Linked DNA regions of Sus scrofa. The protein of the gene in region 4 purifies or fractionates together with the protein of the main gene of each other region. This does not show direct contact. Links are inferred from orthologs where the notes say so. Each region holds a gene or a part of one and is shown on either strand. Other genes may lie near its edges. The genes, in order: PAGR1, lysine-specific demethylase 6A-like, NCOA6, KMT2C and PAXIP1.

Region 1 (4,160 bases), on a different chromosome or scaffold from region 4:
GGATTGAACCCGTCCCTCTCCAGTGAACCAAGTCACTGCAATCAGATTCTTAATCCACTGCACCAAGCAGGAACTCCTCCTTCGGAGAATTTAAAACAGAATTGGGAGTTCCTGTCGTGGCACAGCAGCAACAAATCCTACTAGGAACCATGAGGTTGCAGGTTCGATCCCTGGCCTTGCTCAGTGGGTTAAGGATCCAGTGTTGCCGTGAGCTGTGGTGTAGGTCGCAGATGTGGCCGGATCACGTGTTGCTGTGGTGTAGGCCAGGGGCTGCAGCTCCAATTGGACCGCTAGCCTGGAAACCTCCATTTGCCACACTTGAGGCCCTAAAAATAAAATAATAATAATTTAAAAAAATTTAAAACAGATTTGAGCTGACTTATGTTTTGAAAGAGAGACGGCTTGGATCAGGGTGTCACATTAAAGACAGAGACTAGTAGCTGAATTTGGAAATGTGGAGGCAGACCTAACAAGACTTGCTGCTGGTTTGAATGTTGACATAAAAGAAAGAGAAATCGGGAGTTCCCGTCGTGGCGCAGTGGTTAACAAATCCGACTAGGAACCATGAGGTTGCGGGTTCAATCCCTGCCCTTGCTCAGCGGGTTAACGATCCGGCGTTGCCGTGAGCTGTGGTGTAGGTTGCAGGCGCGGCTCGGATCCCGCGTTGCTGTGGCTCTGGCATAGGCTGGCGGCTACAGCTCCCATTAGACCCCTAGCCTGGGACCCTCCATATGCCGCGGGAGCGGCCCAAGAAATAACAACAATAACAACAACAACAACAACAAAAAAAGACAAAAGACAAAAAAAAAAAAAAAAAAAGAAAGAAAGAGAAATCAAGAATGGCTCTGAGAGGAGTTCCCGTCTTGGCTCAGAGGTTAACGAACCTGACTAGTATCCATGAGGATTCGGGTTCGATCCCTGGCCCCACTCAGTGGGCTAAGGATCCGGTGTTGCCATGAGCCGTGGTGTAGGTCCCAGATGTGGCTTAGATCTCATGTTGCTGTGGCTGTGGTGTAGGCCAGCAGCTATAGCTCTGATTTGACCCCTAGCCTGGGAACCTCCATATGCCGCAGATGCAGCCCTAAACACACACACACACAAGAGAGAGAGAGAGAATGGCTCTGACGGTAAACTCTAGGCATGGGAAGCTAGGTCAGATTAGGAGGTGTACGCAGTAGCATAGGGATGTGGAGCTAGATAATGACCAAGAAGACTCGGACTTCTGGGATGGGGGTGGGGGGGAAATGAGACCAAAGGAATGGGAAATATGATAGAATTACCTGTGATAATCTTTTAAAAGAAAATTGGGTACCACCTAGACTGGAAGGATGGCAACCACTGAGTGCACGCTCTCCCCTGAAGCTGTGATTTGTGTAGCTACCAAGGAACCAAGCAGAGACCTTTTTTTTTTTTTTTTTTTTGACCACACCCATGGAATGTGGAAGTTCCCAGGCCAAGGTTCGAACCTGTGCCAAAGCAGTGACAATGCTGGGTCCTTTGCCACTAAGCCATCAGAGAACGCCTCAAAGACCTCTTTCAGGGAGTCCCTTTCGGAGTAAGTGGGAACAGAGGCCCCCCCGCGCCCCCCATTCTCCACTCTTGTCTGTACCTGGGGTGCGCCTCCGGTCAATCAGGGAGTCCTTTGGTGTCATTGGCTCATCATCAAAATCAAATTCTGTGGGCATGTGCGGCCTGGGACAGGTGGAGAGAGAGAGGAGGGTGAGGGAGATCCTTCCAAACCTCCACTGGTGCTTCTCCCGGGCCTTCGGGCTCTTCCCCTCCCTCTAACTTCCCATGCTCCTGGGTCCCACCTCCCTCCCTATTTCCTCCTGGCATCAAGGAAGCAATCCTCACTTTTCCTCTTCCTCCTCTTTGGCCTCGGGTTCCTCATCAGATCTTTCCTCTTCACTCTGGGCCTCAGGCGTAGGTGGTCGGCGGGGCAGGATCTCTGCCTGAAGCTCCAGGGTACCGTGGGCAGCCAGCAGTTCATAGAGCCGTTGGATTTCGGAGGGAGGTGGCATCCAGGGCTGCCCATCCTCAGGCAGCTCCACCTCTTCATCGCTGCAGGGCACGCACCAGTCCTCGGAGTCTCCCTGGGCGGGCTCTTCCCCCTCAGTGCTGGGGGCTTCTCCCTGCACTTCCTCGGCCCTGGACCCCTCATGTTCGGCCTCCTCCCGGCCTCCTTCCCCCTCTTCCTCGGCTTTATCGGCCGAAGCAGAGGGGCCTCCGGTGTCCTCCACGGCCAGAGCCTGGAGGCCGGAGGTCACTTCCCCTTCTTCAGACAGAGGCGCCGCCGCGGTGGCTGCCGTGTCTCCATGACCCCGGACAAGGGACATAAGCCACTAGGGAAGGGGCCCAGCGATGCCAGGAGATGCAGGAGTACCAAGCCGGGGATTCCCCCCGCGCCCCCTCCCTCCCTCCACTCCCTCCCAAAAAAAGGGATCACCCCGGGGTTCGGGGACTGTTTCGCTAACCAATCAGGCTCCAACAGCGGTCTCGCGACCAGACCACCGGTTCCCAGGAGGGGGCGCTCAGTCCCCTCCAAGGACCCCGCCCCCCACAGATCGAGATCCGGTACTCCGAGGTTTCCAGCGAGCGGCAGAAACCACTTTCCGGGCCGGAGACGGGCGGACCCGCTCTTCTCGCCTCCGCACTACGCCGCTCTACACCTGGATGCGGCGTCCTCTCCCCACACCTCGAAGGTCCCCCACCTCAGCGGCCGTACGCACCTGGAGCTAAGACCCGCCTCCCGGGCCGCGCAGGGTCAAAGTACGCAGGCGCACAGATACGGCGCGGGAGGCTCCGCTTTAGTCAAAGCTACTTGGGAGAGGAAAGCAAGGGGAGGCTTGCACATGCGCAGGTAGGCGCTCGGGAACGATAGGCTTCGGCCCACAGTAAAGATGGCCACGGGGGTGGCGCATGCGCAAATCACCTAGTAGGTTGTGCCCCAAAGGAGGCTGTACCTCCGGCCCCGCGGCGCAGGCACGTAAGGACCAACTGAGGCTGGAGGCGAGTATCATGCAGTCTCCGTTTATTGGTGTTTCAGACTCATGCAGCATCCGGCATACAAAAAGGGAGAATCAGTTTGATGTATCCTTTTTTTTTTTTTTTTTAAAGACTTTTAGGTTTTTTCCCTACGCTTTTTTTTATATTAAAAAAAACACAAAAAAACCAAAACCAAACCAACTCCGAACCGCGTTGTGGCTCAGACCCTGCCTCCCCAGTGAACTGTCGCGTGCAACAAACCTCTCTCGTCCTCTTAGAAAATAATCGCAGCTCTCTCCGCCCCTTCTTTGCTCCCTGCAGCTGGGAGCTTTGGTCCAATTTTTTCTGTTCTTACAGTTACAAAGCACGTGAATGACTCCAGCCGCGACGCCTTTAACAAACCGACTGGGTTAAAAAGCCCAGGCGGGGCAGGTCAGCTCGGGCCGACCGGGGAGGGTTCGAGAGCCTCGCCCCTCCCTTCTACCAGGTGCTTGTTCGGAACAGTACCCGCCACCCCTGCACAAATCTACAAACGAGGCCCGGCTTGCCAGCTCTGCGACCCCGAGGCACCCCGGGGGTGTCTGGGCCTGGGTAGTCCCTGCAGAGAACAGTCGCGAGCCCGGGCTAGGGAGCCCTCTCCAGACACCGCTCCCCTCCCCCAGCCTGATCTAAGTGCTGGAGTTTTTGCAGAATAAACGGTGGAGGAGGGTGGAGGAGAGGATGCAGAGGGGAGATGAGGAGGCAGGAAGAGGAAGGGGGTGGAGGGTGTGGAGAGGGAAGAGGAGATGAATGAGGAAGGGAAGGAAGAGAGGAGGGGGGGGAGGGGGGGATGCTGAGACAATAAAAAGTTGGGAAATGGAGATCCGGGATGAGGTGCAGGGGACTCGGGAGGGTGTAGTGCAGGAAGGCCGCAAGAGATGCAGGAAGGCTGAGAGCAAAGAGAGTCTGGGAGATGGTCAGGGAGGTTTCCAGAAGTGCAAGGAGGTTTCCAGAAGTGCAGGGAGGTTTCCAGAAGTGCAGGGGTAGGGAAGCCAAGAGGCTGAAGGGGAGGCAGGCAAAAGTGCAGGGAGGTTGGACACAGAGCAGGGAACAGGGAGGCCTACGGTTGGCAGAGGAGCCTGGCAGGATGCAGGAGCAGGAAAGAAGCTGTAAACAAGGCTGCTCAGGCTCCATTG
Region 2 (4,110 bases), on a different chromosome or scaffold from region 4:
TCATAAACTGTCCTCCTCTTTATGTAAATCAAAGTTTAAATACATTTTGTCTGTTTTAGATCAAGGGAAATTTTCCCAAAACTAAGTATTTCAGGCAACTATTTTTAAAAAATAAGCATTTTCCTAATCTTACAAGTATTTTTTAAGATACTTATTAAAAGTTAGCATTTTTCAGGAGCTCCCGTCCGTGGCTCAGCTAAAAGGAATCCAACTGGGAACCATGAGGTTGCGGTCCGATCCTGGGGCTTGCTCAGGTTAAGGATTTGGCCATGTGGTGAGCTGTGGTATAGGTCATAGACCCAGCTTGGATCTGGCACTGCTGTGTCTGGGGCACAGGCCCAGCAGCAACAGCTCAGATGCGAACTCCACCCTGGGAGTGGGGTTGGGTGTGACCTTAAAAAGCAAAAAAAAAAAAGAAAGGGATTTTCCCAATTAATAACAACTGGAGGTACAGCGCAGATGATATTGCATAAAGTATCACACAAGAGTTGCCCGTTTTAAGAAAAGTAATTTACAGAGGCCTAATTTTCCCCACAATTGTATTATTTACAACCTGACAAAAGCAAAATAAGAAAGTATTGTTACGTTTTGTTTTCTAAGGCTTACAGCATCTCCAGTTAGGGTCTTAAATATTTCTTCGCAGCTTGGATCACCCGCCCATTTTGGGATCAGTGCGGGAGGCACCAACAACGTTTGGAGTTCTAGCTGGTCAGCCAGACTCCCCGAAAGGCTGCTGGGATCTGGTGGGTGGGCTGTGGTCTCAAGGTTCTTACCTCTCCCTTTACGACCCGGGATAGGAAACCCGGCAGGAAGAGTTAGTTAGGGCCGCGTGGTTATTATTTTCCAAAGGTGCCAAAAGTCTTGTCTTCCAGGATCGGAGGTTCAAGTGTTACACTTGTTATGATCCAGGTGGTGAGAGTTTCCATAATATTACAACGCCTGTGTCAGTGCCGCAGCTGAAAAAGAGCTATGAGTCCTCCATCTGTGCTGTCGTCTGCCGCAGTATCTTCTAGGTTTCAATCTTCTCCATCATTCCCTTCCTCAGCTTGTTATTAACGAGGCCGAGACACTCCATTTTTTACAACGATGTAGAACAGTTTGCTGTACATGTTGCACACCCTTTTCCAAATCAGCGAGTCCGCTAACCAATTTACCCACGAAAGTTTGCGCCCCTTCCGGTTCCTGTACGGGTCGGCGGTGACTTCGTGGGAGTGATTGGGTATCTAGCAAGTTCGGTTGAGCCGCAAGTGACGTGAGTCAACAAAGGTCACGTGAGGCAAGCCCTTCGCATCAATTGGCGGCGCCGGGTTTAGGGGGTGGGGGCGTCACGGTTACTCGGGGTTTGCCCGGTGACACGATTGCAACTTTGTGCGGGTGCTGGCGAAGTTTGTAAGTCTAAGATAGTCTTCCATTACAGCGGGCTTCCGCGTTTTCTGCTGTCATCGCATACTCCATGATGTGACCTCGGCAGCCGAGTTGCGCAGCGTGGGTATTCGCTGTTTTTGCTATCAGCTTGGGCTTTTTCATCACCGCCACCTGCGTTGCTTGCTATAAAGTTGGTTTGCCTGTGTGTAGCGCCAAGACCTTCTTTTCGCGTCCTGGACTGGGGTTTGGTACATTTCGGCCTTGAGAATTTTACATTTGTTGCGTTTCAATGAAATCCTGCGGAGTGTCGCTCGCTGCCGCTGCAGCTGTTTTCGGTGATGAGGAAAAGAAAATGGCGGCGGGAAAAGCCAGCGGCGAGACGAAGGAGAGTTCCCTCAGCTTGACAACCGAAGAGAAGGAGGCGCTTAGCGGAATGGACAGGTACGGACCGCTGTTACTCTCCCACGTGGCTACCGACCGGCTGCAACCGCTCATCGGGGTAACTTGAGCTCGAGTTACCTCTGGTGGCGGCGTCGTCCAAGTGGTTGCTGCCACCCGTGCCTCGGGATGGGGAAGGGACCGGTCAGTGGCTTTACTTACGCGTTAATAAGTTGTCTGTATTTTCTCCCATAGCCGCCTCTTTGGGTTCGTGAGCCTGCATGAAGATGGCGCCAGGACTAAAACTCTGTTGGGCAAGGTAAGGCAGTCTCGGGGGCCAACGCAGTCCCCCGCTTGTGCCCTGTTGTCTTTGCCACCTGCAGCCACTGAGGCGCGTTGTGGCAGAAAACGAAAAATTATTTTGCTCTCTTCTCACCTGGATACCTCGCTTACTGCCTGGCAAAATTCTGTATTGTTGCTTGAGCAGCAGAGACGTCGGGGTTTTCGGGCAACGCCTAACGGTTATTTTGGAGCATTTTCTTTAGGAAATGATTCCTGAATTTCAGTATCACAGAGTCGTGAACGTGTGCAGATTGAAATTTTTCAAATTCCCATGCGCTGTTCTTTTTTTTTTTGTTGTTTTCTTTTTTTCCCCTTTGACGGTCGGCTTGAGAGATCTGCTTTTAAGTGATCGTTTTAAACTTTAATTACTCATGTTCTCAGAAGGGATAGTTTGTATATCCTTTGCAACCGTGAAGAGTTTGAATTGGGTATTGAACCAGTATACTGATTGGTGTGTTTTCGAACCGGGTAAACTGTTTGTTTGGGTTTAGCTGCTTAGATTTATTGCTGACAATGCCAATAATCCCCCGCCCCCCCCCCGCCCCCAGCACCTTGTTTTTGGTGTCTGACATAGACGGGCGAGTTTTCTCGGTTTATCTGTGTAAAAAGTTATCGGCACTGTCACTTAGTTAATGGCTGCCCCATCGGCCAAGATGGCGGGAAATAGTGGGTGGGGAAATGACGACGTGAGTTTTGAAGGAGGGAAGAGATATAAACAAGGAAACGCTAGCGGTAAGCGTGCTTTTGCATTGGTTACTGTGTCTTGATGGTGCATAATAAAAATTTAGCACTGATATTTAAAAGTAGAATTCTTAGATTACCAAGCTTTACAACAGCATTCGTGAACCTAAAATGTGCTTTGCAACCTGGGATCTATTTAGTCGTAGTAAACGATTGCACAAATACCATGTAATCTCAGTTGCACAAATACCATGTAATTTCAATCTTCTGAGCAAAATCTAGTTAAAATATATTTTTCTTTCATTTCATTCCATGGAAGGGGGTCATATTTCCATTAGATATTTACTTTTCTAACCGAGACTGGTAGCTGTGAATTTGTCTTACCTTTTGCTCCATTTCAGAAGGACGTATTAAGTATGTATGCTTTTTTTGTTTTGGTTGCACCCACAGGCATATAAAAGTTCCCTGGATCCTTTAACTCATTTTTGCCAGGCAGGGGATGGAACATGCACCTCCACAGCAATCTGAAGTGCTGCAGTGTTATTTTTATTGCACTGACTATAGGTAGAACGCTAATAAATTTTATTTTTAAGTTATTTTTGACAGTTTCTGTTGTAGTTCAGCAGTAATAAGCCCAGCTAGTGTTCATGAGGCTGAAGGTTCAATCCCTGACCTTACTTGGTAGATTAAATATCGGGTGTTGCGGTGAGCTGTGATGTAGGTCCATGGCTGCAGGTCTGATTTCCACCTCTAGCCTGAGAACTATGCTGCAGGTGTGGCCTAAAAAAATTTTTTTTTCTTGTCGAGAATTCTGAGCTGTACTTGAATTTATGTAATCTTAAATTTTTTTTTAACCTGTAATCTCACTTTTATCTTTGTTTTTAAGGCAGAAAATGACCATGAGATAGTGTAATAATTTGTCATCCAATCCATTTAATAAAACTCGAATTAAGCTTTGGTCATGTAGGTAATTATTACTCCGTTAACCTTATCACTGGGAGAGTAAACAGTGACTTTCTCTGATAGTATTTAAGCAGCAGTGAAGTGAGCCAGAGCAATGATAATGCCGGACCCTTAACTGCTAGGCCACCAGGTATTGCCTATTTTTTTTTTTCTTAATTTTTATTAAAAAACTCAGTATTTAAATATTTTATCGAAGTTCCCATCGTGGCTCAGCTAGTTAAGAACACAAACAGTATCCATGAGGTTGTGGGTTCAATTCCTGGCCTCTCTCAGTGGCTAAGAATTAAGGATCCAACATTACCCTGAGCTATTGGCCATAGGGCCAGATGGACTTTGGTTCTTGCCTTTTTGTGGCTGTGGTGTAGGCTGGTAGCTGCAGGT
Region 3 (3,513 bases), on a different chromosome or scaffold from region 4:
ACAGCAGCCACCACCTCCCAGTCAGCCACAGTCTCAGCAGCAGCAGCAGCAGCAGCAGCAGCAGCAGCAGCAGCAGCAGCAGCAACAAATGATGATGATGCTCATGATGCAACAGGACCCCAAATCAGTTAGACTTCCAGTCTCCCAGAATGTCCATCCCCCAAGGGGTCCCCTGAACCCAGACTCCCAGAGAATGCCCATGCAACAGAGTGGCAGTGTGCCTGTCATGGTCAGTTTGCAAGGACCTGCCTCCGTGCCACCATCACCTGATAAACAAAGAATGCCAATGCCTGTGAATACTGCTTTGGGAAATAGTTCAAGGAAAATGGTATACCAGGAGAACCCCCAGAATCCTTCCAGTTCACCGCTAGGTGAGATGTCCTCGCTCCCTGAGGCAAGTGGCAGTGAAGTACCATCGGTCTCAGGAGGCCCAAACAGCATGCCTTCACATTTAGTAGTCTCCCAGAATCAGTTAATGATGACAGGGCCAAAACCTGGACCATCACCCCTTTCAGCAACTCAAGGTGCAACTCCCCAGCAACCTCCTGTAAATTCCCTGCCCAGCTCTCATGGCCACCACTTTCCAAATGTGGCTGCTCCAACCCAAACATCTAGGCCTAAAACACCAAACAGAGCCAGCCCCAGACCCTATTATCCTCAGACTCCCAACAACCGCCCTCCCAGCACAGAACCTTCAGAAATCAGTCTATCACCAGAAAGACTCAATGCCTCCATAGCAGGACTCTTTCCCCCACAGATTAATATTCCTTTACCTCCCAGGCCAAATTTAAACAGGGGGTTTGATCAACAAGGACTAAATCCAACAACTCTGAAGGCCATAGGGCAAGCACCTTCAAATCTTTCCATGAATAATCCTTCCAATTTTGCTGCCCCACAGACTCACAAATTAGATTCTGTGGTGGTAAATTCTGGAAAGCAGTCTAATTCTGGAGCAACAAAACGGGCAAGTCCAAGCAACAGCCGCAGGTCTAGTCCTGGGTCAAGTAGGAAAACCACCCCAAGTCCTGGGAGACAAAATTCAAAAGCTCCTAAACTTACTCTGGCCTCGCAAACAAACACAGCCTTGTTGCAAAATGTGGAGTTGCCAAGAAATGTATTGGTCAGTCCCACTCCTTTGCCCAATCCTCCTGTACCTGGGAGCTTCCCTAACAACAGTGGACTGAATCCTCAGAATCCTACTATGCCTGTTGCTGCAGTAGGGGGTGTTCTCGAGGATAACAAGGAAAGCTTGAATGTGCCTCAGGACAGCGATTGCCAGAACTCCCAGGGTAGGAAGGAACAGGTAAATGTTGAGTTAAAAGCAGTCCCAGCCCAAGAAGTTAAAATGGTTGTTCCTGAAGATCAATCCAAAAAGGATGGGCAACCTTCGGATCCTAACAAACTGCCCAGTGTCGAAGAGAACAAAACTTTGGTGTCTCCTGCTATGAGGGAAGCACCAACATCATTAAGTCAACTTCTTGACAACTCTGGAGCTCCTAATGTGACCATAAAACCCCCCGGGCTTACAGATCTGGAAGTAACACCCCCAGTAGTTTCTGGAGAGGACCTGAAAAAAGCATCCGTCATTCCCACACTGCAGGATCCGTCTTCTTCTAAAGAACCCACTGGTTCCCTAAATTTACCTCACAGTAACGAGCCGTGTTCAACCCTTGTGCATCCAGAATTGAGTGAGGTCAGTTCTAATGTTGCACCAAGCATCCCTCAAGTAATGTCAAGACCTGTCAGTTCTTCCTCCATTTCCACTCCTTTGCCCCCAAATCAAATAACTGTTTTTGTAACTTCCAACCCCATCACGACTTCAGCGAACACATCAGCGGCTCTGCCAACTCACCTGCAATCTGCATTAATGTCAACGGTCGTCACAATGCCCAATGTGGGTAGCAAGGTTATGGTTTCTGAGGGACAGTCAGCTGCTCAGTCAAATGCCCGGCCTCAGTTCATTACACCTGTCTTTATCAATTCGTCCTCAATAATTCAGGTTATGAAAGGATCACAGCCAAGCACAATTCCTGCAGCCCCACTGACAACCAACTCTGGCTTGATGCCTCCCTCTGTTGCAGTCGTTGGCCCTCTACACATACCTCAGAATATTAAATTTTCTTCTGCTCCTGTACTGCCTAATGCACCCTCCAGTAGTCCTGCTCCAAACATACAGACAGGTCGACCCTTGGTCCTTAACTCACGAGCCACGCCTGTTCAGCTTCCGTCCCCACCTTGTACAGCTTCTCCAGTTGTCCCTCCTCATGCCCCTGTCCAACAAGTGAAAGAATTGAATCCAGATGAGACTAGTCCTCAGGTGAGCACCTCAGCAGATCAGAGCACTCTGCCCTCTTCACAGTCAACCACAGTGGTTTCTCCCCTTTTGACTAATAGTCCAGGCTCCTCTGTCAACCGACGAAGCCCAGTCTCATCTAGTAAGGGCAAAGGAAAAGTGGACAAAATCGGCCAGATTTTGCTGACGAAAGCTTGTAAAAAAGTTACAGGTTCTCTTGAGAAAGGGGAAGAACAATATGGTGCAGATGGAGAGACTGAAAGCCAAGGGCTAGAGACTGCAGCTCCAGGGCTCATGGGAACAGAGCAGTTATCCACAGAGCTGGACAGTAAAACCCCAACTCCCCCAGCACCCACTCTCCTAAAAGTGACCTCTAGCCCTGTGGGCCCGGGCTCCGCCTCAGCAGGACCCAGCTTACCTGGCAGTACTCTCCCCACCAATGTACGCTCAATAGTAACCACTCTGGTACCCTCTGAGCTCATCTCTGCGGCGCCGACCACAAAAAGCAATCATGTTGGCATAACATCTGAGCCACTTGCAGGTGGCCTAGTGGAGGAGAAGGTGGGATCTCATCCAGAGCTTCTGTCCAGCATAGGTATGTACTCGGGGCATGGCATCATCTCATGTGAATTTTTAGATGACCTATCCCACAAGAGAAAGCATGACTTCTTTTCTACTTGGAGGAAGAAGAATGGGCTAAATGGCAATAGTGATAGTTCCATTTATTTGAAATACATTGGGAAAATATTCTTTTAAAATCCTCTGTTAAGTTTACATTCATTAACATGGTTCTCAGCTCTTGAAATAATGAAACACCTTTCATTTATATAAAATATTTCATTTTACAAAGAAGTATCAACTATGTCAGGTATCCCTAACGCCATTCTACGGGTGAAAAGATTGAAGCTCAAGGGTTCAGTTTTCATTCAAAATCTATCCTGTGAGTCTCCAATTTAACATTGTTAAATTGGGTGAACAGCAGCTTCTGTGGATTCTCCTCACCAAAGTGCTTTCAGCTATTTCAAAACAGTTATCTCACAGCTTCTTCATTGTATTCTGTCAGGGTCTGTTCTCTTCTGACTTGCCTCTCCATAGGAGAGCTTTCCAAAAAACCAGGTTTCACCATAATAGACATGAGAGGACCAAAGTGGTTGAGAGATAGGCTTAGGTTGGTATCACAGTGCCAGCATTTACCAGCTGTATGGCCTTAGGCAAGTTAC
Region 4 (3,513 bases):
GCGCTCCCTCTTTGAGTTTCCGAATCACACCCACTGAAGAGCCCATGCACGCCCTCCTCACCTCCCACGAGACCTTTCGTGTCGTCTTCGCCCTCGAGCATACGTGGTCTCCCTCCCGGCCACTCGCACGGAGGCTGAACACGGCCCAGCGGGTGACCCGGTTCCCCCCACACGTCTCGCGGCCCAGTTGTCGTTCAGCCGTGTGAGCTGGGCTCCTCTGCTTGTACCCCAGGGTCGTGCACGCAAGAGGCGCCCCGTAGCCATTGCTCAGATTAGGCTTTTATTACTTAACAGAGACTAATACACGGTAAGTTAAATGAACCACGTTACAGTAGATTGATACGGTATATAGCTGGTCATCATGTACCATCTGTGCGACCGGTCAGGTTTAGCCGCTGACAGAAGTCTTTTGCCTCTAGGTCTTTCTGGATACAAGGATGCTAGTCATGGCATTGCAGAAAGTGCGGCCCTCAGACCACAGTGGTGCTGCCACTGCAAAGTGGTTATTCTGGGCAGCGGCGTGAGGAAGTCGGTCAGAGACCTGGCCTTTGTGAACAAGGTATGTGAGTGTGGGTGTGGGTGAGTGTGGGTGTGGGCGTCCCCGCCCCTGCCGGCCGCCTGGGCAGGGCCCTGCTCCTGCACCCACGGGACATCCGTTGCGGGAAGGAGCCTCTACTTATGTTCCTTGTGCTTAAGCTTAAAACCAGATTACCGCAGCTGGCTGTTAAGGTGGACGCTGTTAGAACGGCGTGTTTTTAAGTTCAGTGAAATATGGAAAGTAAAGTTTATTTCTGTAAGTGTGTCTTTGTGGCGAAATCATTACATGCTAAATATCAGCTCGCAGTTATCTGTGTACTTCTAAGGTGGCTACTTTTCACTTGGAGCAGAACATAAAAACCAACTCTGTAAAGATCTTGTTTTTATTAACTTTTGACTTGTTGAGCTCCCCCCACGTTTCTCGTTGCCTTTCAGGATTTCCGAGAAAGCTCCAGTAGGGTGGAAAAGGACATTGTCTTCTGCAGTAACAACTGCTTTGTTCTCTATTCATCAGCTGCCCAAGCAAAAAACTCGGAGAGCAAGGTAAAACTCGACCGTCTCCGTCTGTGCGGAGGAGCTTGCGTGTCTGGGAATGTGCCCCGGCCCCACGCAGAGCTCTCCCGGGGAGTGGGAGCAGGTGCCACTCACCTGCTTGGTAGCCGAGCTGAGAAAGAGCAATTGGTCCCGGTTGTTGTTGCCGGTTAAATAAGTTTAGCTTCTTTGGCAAGAGCGGGTAGATCTGAATTATATCTTAAAAGTTCAGAATTGAGTAAAACCCTAATACTAAAATCCGAAATCTTATTTAATTACAAATAATTTAATTACAGCTGTGAAAGATTGCTGCATTGATTTTTATCCCAATGGCAAAACCTGTTCACAGACGCATTTGGAAGCTCTTCATGTATTCTGGGGGGGAAGTGCCTTTCTCATGCTGCGGTGGGAAAGGCCTGCTTGCTTTTGCGTGGTTCTCTGGGTGCGTCTGGGTGTGAAGGGGACGCGGACGACGTGAAGGGTGGTTTTCCCACATGCAGTAAGTTTAGACGTTAAACTATATCTGCCTAGATGAGAGAAGGAATTGTTTTTGGTTTTGTTTTTTCGCCAAATAATTTTTGAAGGGGTATGCAATGCCTGGCTGCTTCTGGACTTTATGTGAGGCTTATCTTTTTTCAGAACCACATAGGAAGGGGTGTATGAGGAGAGGCTGTGGGTTTGCTCTTTGACTTGTTTGTGACACTTTGAGTCCAAAGAGAAACTAATGGAGCTTCTCTCTCAGCTCAGCCCTTTCAGCAGCTGGATCCCAACCCCCCGCCTCTGAGGAAAGTTCACTGTGCCCCGTTTGCTGGCAGGGGACGTCTTCCCCTCCCTCACGCGTCTGCCAACTAACTAAGCCTAAGATTAACAAACGGGAATTTCGGAGGGTGGGGTGAGCGTGTAAGAGAGAGTGAGCTGAAGTTGTGTCGTGTAAATTCAGCAGGCACTGGCAGTACTGATTTTTCTGGCTTTATTATGGTTTGCAAGTGAGTGTCCATGGAAGTTTAAGCAAAATACGCTGTCCCTGTTGATCTGTAAATACTGGACATTGAGCACCGACTCGTGCTGCCCAAAAGTCCTCGCCACTCAGGTTCAGAGCCCCAGCCGAAGACGGTCAGAACCCTGTTGCTCATTTTGCCTTGTTCTAGTGCCGGTTGCTGTTCGGGCTCTTGAATGCCTCGTTTTTGTGCTTCTCTTTATTGCTCAGGACTGCATGGCTTCGTTGCCACAGTCACCGGTCAGAGAGCCACCTTCCAGAGCTTTCCATCAGTACAGCACCAACATCTCCACTTTGGATGTGCGTTGCCTGCCGCAGTTCCAGGAGGCAGCTTCGCCCCCCGCGTCGCCTCCCATCACGTTCCCTCCTGCTTTTGAAGCCGCCCAGGTCGAGGCAAAGCCCGATGAGCTGAAAGTCACCGTCAAGTTAAAGCCTCGGCTGAGGACCGTCCACGGCGGCTTGGAGGACTGCCGGCCGAGCGCTAAGAAGTGGCGGGGCATGAAGTGGAAGAAGTGGAGCGTCCACATCGTGGTCCCCAAGGGGGCGTTCCGACCCCCCTGCGAGGAGGAGATCGATGAGTTTCTGAAGAAACTGGGCACGTCCCTGAAGCCCGATCCTGTGCCCAGAGACTATCGGAAGTGCTGCTTCTGCCACGAAGAAGGCGACGGCCTGACAGACGGGCCGGCCCGGCTGCTCAACCTCGACTTGGACCTGTGGGTGCACCTGAACTGCGCGCTGTGGTCCACCGAGGTCTACGAGACCCAGGCTGGCGCCTTAATCAACGTCGAGCTCGCCCTCAGGCGCGGCCTGCAGATGAAGTGTGTCTTCTGCCACAAGATGGGGGCCACCAGCGGGTGCCACCGATTTCGATGCACCAACAGTTACCACTTCACCTGCGCCGTGAAAGCTCAGTGCATGTTCTTCCGAGACAAAACCACGCTGTGCCCCATGCATAAGCCAAAGGGGGTCCACGAGCAGGAGCTGAGCTCCTTCGCCGTCTTCAGGAGGGTCTACGTGCAGCGCGACGAGGTGCGGCAGATCGCCAGCATCGTGCAGCGGGGGGAGCGCGACCACACCTTCCGGGTGGGCAGCCTCATCTTCCACACCATCGGCCAGCTGCTCCCGCAGCAGATGCAGGCCTTCCACTCGGCCAAGGCGCTCTTCCCCGTGGGCTACGAGGCCAGCCGGCTCTACTGGAGCACGCGCTACGCCAACCGGCGCTGCCGCTACCTGTGCTCCATCGAGGAGAAGGACGGGCGCCCCGTGTTCGTGATCAGGATCGTGGAGCACGGCCACGAAGACCTTGTCCTGAGCGACACGTCGCCGAAAGGTGAGGCCCCGCTTGGACGCTGGGCAGGGCTGGTCACTCCAGGGTGGGGTGCCTGAGCGTTTGCCGTCCGTCCCCCTGGGTGCCTTCTCCTAGTTCTCATCCTTTATAGCAGCAGGGC
Region 5 (3,513 bases), about 2.2 Mb from region 4:
AACTGTTTCTACATTTTTCTTCTGCCTGCTGCACTGTTAGGTTTTATATTTCATTAATATCTTTTAAGAACACAGTAATTTCTAAAATCTCAATTGACAAGGACTTTTCTAAAGACCGTAATACGGCTGGTCCTCATTATCCGTGGGTTTCGTATTCATGCCCACCTGCTACCATTTATCTGAAACGCATACCCAGTTAGTTTCTGCTGCCAGGGCCAGTGACCAGGTGACAGTTTCACCACGAGCCCTTCATGGAACAGGAGTCAACTGTACTGCTGCAGCTACAGATTTTATTTTATTTTTTTCATATTATTGACTTTAATATTTTCATGTTAATGATTTATTCTTAGGTTTTACTAGCTTAGATACAGAATCATGTAATTTCAAGTTTGGTTATAGCTTTGCTGTAAGTAGTGTCTTTACTTTTCTGAACCTTAATTTCTCATCTATAAAACTTGCCGTGAACTTATTAACCCTCAAGGCTGAATTATGTTTAACTACCAGTGGCCAAGGAAAGGACATGCTATGAAATGTTTCACTACTGACCTAACCAGGACTTGCCCCCTAAGGAACCAGGAAGGTCAGGTGAGTGAGTCAGAAGGATGTGGTGCCCATGGGGACCAGGAGTGTCCCTGATGGCCTCTTGGGTCCCTGACCACGCGTCTTGCCTTATCCTTTGGCGGTGGAATCATTCTGGTCCGGGGCGGCGGGCAGTGAGGGGCAGAGGTGAGAACGGGGGAGAAGACCACAGCGCCCCAGGGCAGACTGCGGCCAGAGACACGCGTGTGCGTCTGCCTTGATTAGCAGAGGCGGGACGTCGGTACTCCGGCCACGCAACGCGGGACCAAGGAAGCAGGTGCCCGTGCCCTCCGGATGGGACACGGAGACCGAAAGCAACAAACGATGGAAAGGGCAGTGGAGCTCCAGCCAGACAAGTGGGGGCGAGGGTTACAGGCTGGGTGGCTTCAAGGACGGCATCGCTGCTGCTCGGGCACGACGCCTCCACAGGGAAGGAAGTCCCATGGGGTCAGAGTCATGCTGCACTTTGCAGCAAAAAGGCGCTAAAAGCACTCAGGTTTTTCCAAATGAGTCCCCGCAGCTTTCTTGCGACGTCCCTGCCAAAAGGACCCCACCCAACGCTCAGCCAGCCTGCCGGACCGCGGGTGCGACCTCACTCGACAGCCAGCGCTGGGGACAAGGCGCAGGGCCCAGGACTCAGTGGACGGGAGCACGTCTGCGAGTGCCAACGGTAAGCTCACCAATGAACTTCTGACACTTGAAACACTCCTCCAGCCACTCGGGGGTCACGATGTGCTTCACCACGGAGATGGCCGTCAGGAACTTGACCGTGCGCGTCACCTTGCTGGCGATGAGGTGGGTGCACTTCTGCGCAGACTCGGCGACCTCCCCTCCAAGGATGTAGAGCTTCTGGAGGCCGGGACCACAGGTCAGAGGTGAGAGCTCGGCGTACCGAGCACAGCCTGACTGTCTACAGAGCTCAGCCCGCACACACGGGGCAACTGGACCAAGAACCCGATCTTACAATGTCTGTGTTTGGAATCAAGGCCATACAAATCGAGATGCGAACAGGAGCCCTACCGGACCCCAAGGAGACACCGCCCCCACCCCCCCAGAACAAGTAAAATGTCCCGAGACCAAGGCACGCATCGCATGATGACAAGCAAATATGCCCAGACTTTCTAAGTGGAAATGAGTGCTAATGAGGCTCATTAAGACAGTTCTCTAGGAGCTCCCTGGTGGCCTAGAGGTTAAGGACTTGGCACTGCGGTGGTGCGGTTTTGATCCCTGGCCTGGGAACTTTTGCATGCCTCAAGGATGGAAAAAAATACTGTAAGCAATTCCTCATTAAAGGTTAGTTTAGTAAAAGTGCTGGCAGAACAAACAGAAGGGAACATCCCTAAAAATCCTTATGCAAAATAGAACAGAATTTTACCTTAGTATACTGTTGAACTTGAAGAGGCTCAAATCCAGTGAAAAGCACGAAGGGGGTCAATTCCGGTGTTAGCTTCTTGGTGGGAGGTGGTACATCTTCAATTCTATAAAGACACATGAGGGTGATTTTATTACTTACTTAAAGCTCTTTGGCGTGCCTGTTGTGGTGCAGTGGGTTAAGGATTTGGCATTTGCTAGCCCAGGTTGCAGCCCTGGCTCAGATGTGATCTGTGGCCCTGGGAACTTCCACTCACCACAGGGGTGGAGCTGAAAAACGGCTCCTTAGCAAATGAGGGCGTTTGATGGCTTCAGGTGTGTGCTTTCCTTTCCTCACAGGGAGAAGGCAGTGAGTTTCCTCTTCTTTCCACCACTGACACAGAGGTGGCCCAGGGGCGGCAGCCACTGCCTTTCCACTTCGTCCCCGTCCCCTGCCTTCTCCCCAACACTGAGCCTGGTGCCCGCCGTCCCTCTCCTCCTGCACCAGGAGGCTCGGCTCGGCTCCAGCCCTGCGCTTTCCACCTGCCCCGCCCCGCCCACCCCGGGAGGCACCAGAACGAAGCTGCTGGACTCAAGCACACATTGCAAGTTAAATTTCTCAGTCTTTTACATTTCGCTAATTTTTTCCAAATTTTGTTTTTAGCTTATATTTGGAACAATCTATTCAATTTTTTAAAAGGTAATTTGTGGCATTTTAACGACAGTCATAAAAACATACAATCATATAACTAGGCTTTCATAAGTCCACTAACTCTAGGCAGTGTGGGCATGCGGAGTGGGAGGTGACCGCCCCGCGTGCACACCCTGGGAACAGGGGGGTCTCCTCTAACGAGCCGTGAGCTCGTCTCAGAGGTGAGGCTGGTCAGGTCTGCACACCACGCCCACCCCCTCGGGGTCAGGGGTCAGGAGAGCCTCCCCGGAGCTCTGGAGGACACCTGGGTGCTAGTTCCCCATCCTGTCCCGTCCTCTCAACAGCAGCTCATGGTTTACACACTGAAGGTTCTGGTACAGTTTTGGTTACAGAAAGAAAAACACGGAGTCCTCCTGTGGTGCAGGCTGATCCCTGGCAGGTGCAGCCACAAAGAGAAAAAAGGAAAGCCAGTGGCTTTCCCATCCTCCAGCAACAAAAGCCTTGTCATAATCAAGCTGAGGTACAATCAGCACATCCTGTTTGACATGAAAGTTTCAGAAGCTTTCCCACTTGCCCCATTTCCTGAAACCTGTAAAAGACCACCAACCACACAAAGGGAAGGGATTCTTCCTACCTGGCTCTTTTGGAAGAAGGCTGGATATTCGTTACTTCGTTCTGCTTCGGCTTGGGAGGTAGTCTGACACCCTGCAATGAAAGGCATCGCGTCACTCCACCTCCCAAGGCATCCAGCAGCTTCGAACAGGTTTACACACGCCCCCCAAGCGCCCCACACAGGCAGCACCTCAGAACGGGCACCGCCTGGGAAGCCAGGCGGACTCTGGCCAGACGCCCGCCAAGGTGACGTTCCGGCCCTGCTCTGTATTCACCTGACCCCACGGTTCTGTAAACTGTCTCCCTCCCTCTCTGCCTCC

What was found.
Region 1: the proteins of KMT2C (region 4) and PAGR1 purify together in Homo sapiens (affinity purification with mass spectrometry; 3 studies listed by BioGRID and IntAct, with this or other methods). This does not show direct contact. The link is inferred for Sus scrofa from reciprocal best matches to the Homo sapiens genes KMT2C and PAGR1.
Region 2: the proteins of KMT2C (region 4) and lysine-specific demethylase 6A-like purify together in Homo sapiens (affinity purification with mass spectrometry; 3 studies listed by BioGRID and IntAct, with this or other methods). This does not show direct contact. The link is inferred for Sus scrofa from reciprocal best matches to the Homo sapiens genes KMT2C and KDM6A.
Region 3: the proteins of KMT2C (region 4) and NCOA6 purify together in Homo sapiens (co-immunoprecipitation; 7 studies listed by BioGRID and IntAct, with this or other methods). This does not show direct contact. The link is inferred for Sus scrofa from reciprocal best matches to the Homo sapiens genes KMT2C and NCOA6.
Region 5: the proteins of KMT2C (region 4) and PAXIP1 purify together in Homo sapiens (affinity purification with mass spectrometry; 4 studies listed by BioGRID and IntAct, with this or other methods). This does not show direct contact. The link is inferred for Sus scrofa from reciprocal best matches to the Homo sapiens genes KMT2C and PAXIP1.

What each region holds. Positions count from the first base shown.
Region 1 is NC_010445.4:18,051,331-18,055,490, reverse strand, and holds the start of PAGR1 (PAXIP1-associated glutamate-rich protein 1), read right to left. Parts: upstream 2,813-4,160; 5' UTR 2,337-2,812; coding exon 1,855-2,336; intron 1,693-1,854; coding exon 1,610-1,692; intron 1-1,609. UniProt on the Homo sapiens protein: Its association with the histone methyltransferase MLL2/MLL3 complex is suggesting a role in epigenetic transcriptional activation. However, in association with PAXIP1/PTIP is proposed to function at least in part independently of the MLL2/MLL3 complex.
Region 2 is NC_010462.3:9,085,166-9,089,275, reverse strand, and holds the start of lysine-specific demethylase 6A-like, read left to right. Parts: upstream 1-1,305; 5' UTR 1,306-1,654; coding exon 1,655-1,806; intron 1,807-1,998; coding exon 1,999-2,062; intron 2,063-4,110. UniProt on the Homo sapiens protein: Histone demethylase that specifically demethylates 'Lys-27' of histone H3, thereby playing a central role in histone code. Demethylates trimethylated and dimethylated but not monomethylated H3 'Lys-27'.
Region 3 is NC_010459.5:38,131,391-38,134,903, reverse strand, and holds part of NCOA6 (nuclear receptor coactivator 6), read left to right. Parts: coding exon 1-2,888; intron 2,889-3,513. UniProt on the Homo sapiens protein: Nuclear receptor coactivator that directly binds nuclear receptors and stimulates the transcriptional activities in a hormone-dependent fashion. Coactivates expression in an agonist- and AF2-dependent manner.
Region 4 is NC_010460.4:5,265,796-5,269,308, forward strand, and holds part of KMT2C (histone-lysine N-methyltransferase 2C), read left to right. Parts: intron 1-419; coding exon 420-559; intron 560-972; coding exon 973-1,080; intron 1,081-2,275; coding exon 2,276-3,395; intron 3,396-3,513. UniProt on the Homo sapiens protein: Histone methyltransferase that catalyzes methyl group transfer from S-adenosyl-L-methionine to the epsilon-amino group of 'Lys-4' of histone H3 (H3K4).
Region 5 is NC_010460.4:3,101,344-3,104,856, reverse strand, and holds part of PAXIP1 (PAX-interacting protein 1), read right to left. Parts: intron 3,287-3,513; coding exon 3,216-3,286; intron 2,058-3,215; coding exon 1,955-2,057; intron 1,429-1,954; coding exon 1,260-1,428; intron 1,116-1,259; coding exon of another isoform or gene 1,072-1,115; exon of another isoform or gene 344-1,071; intron 1-343.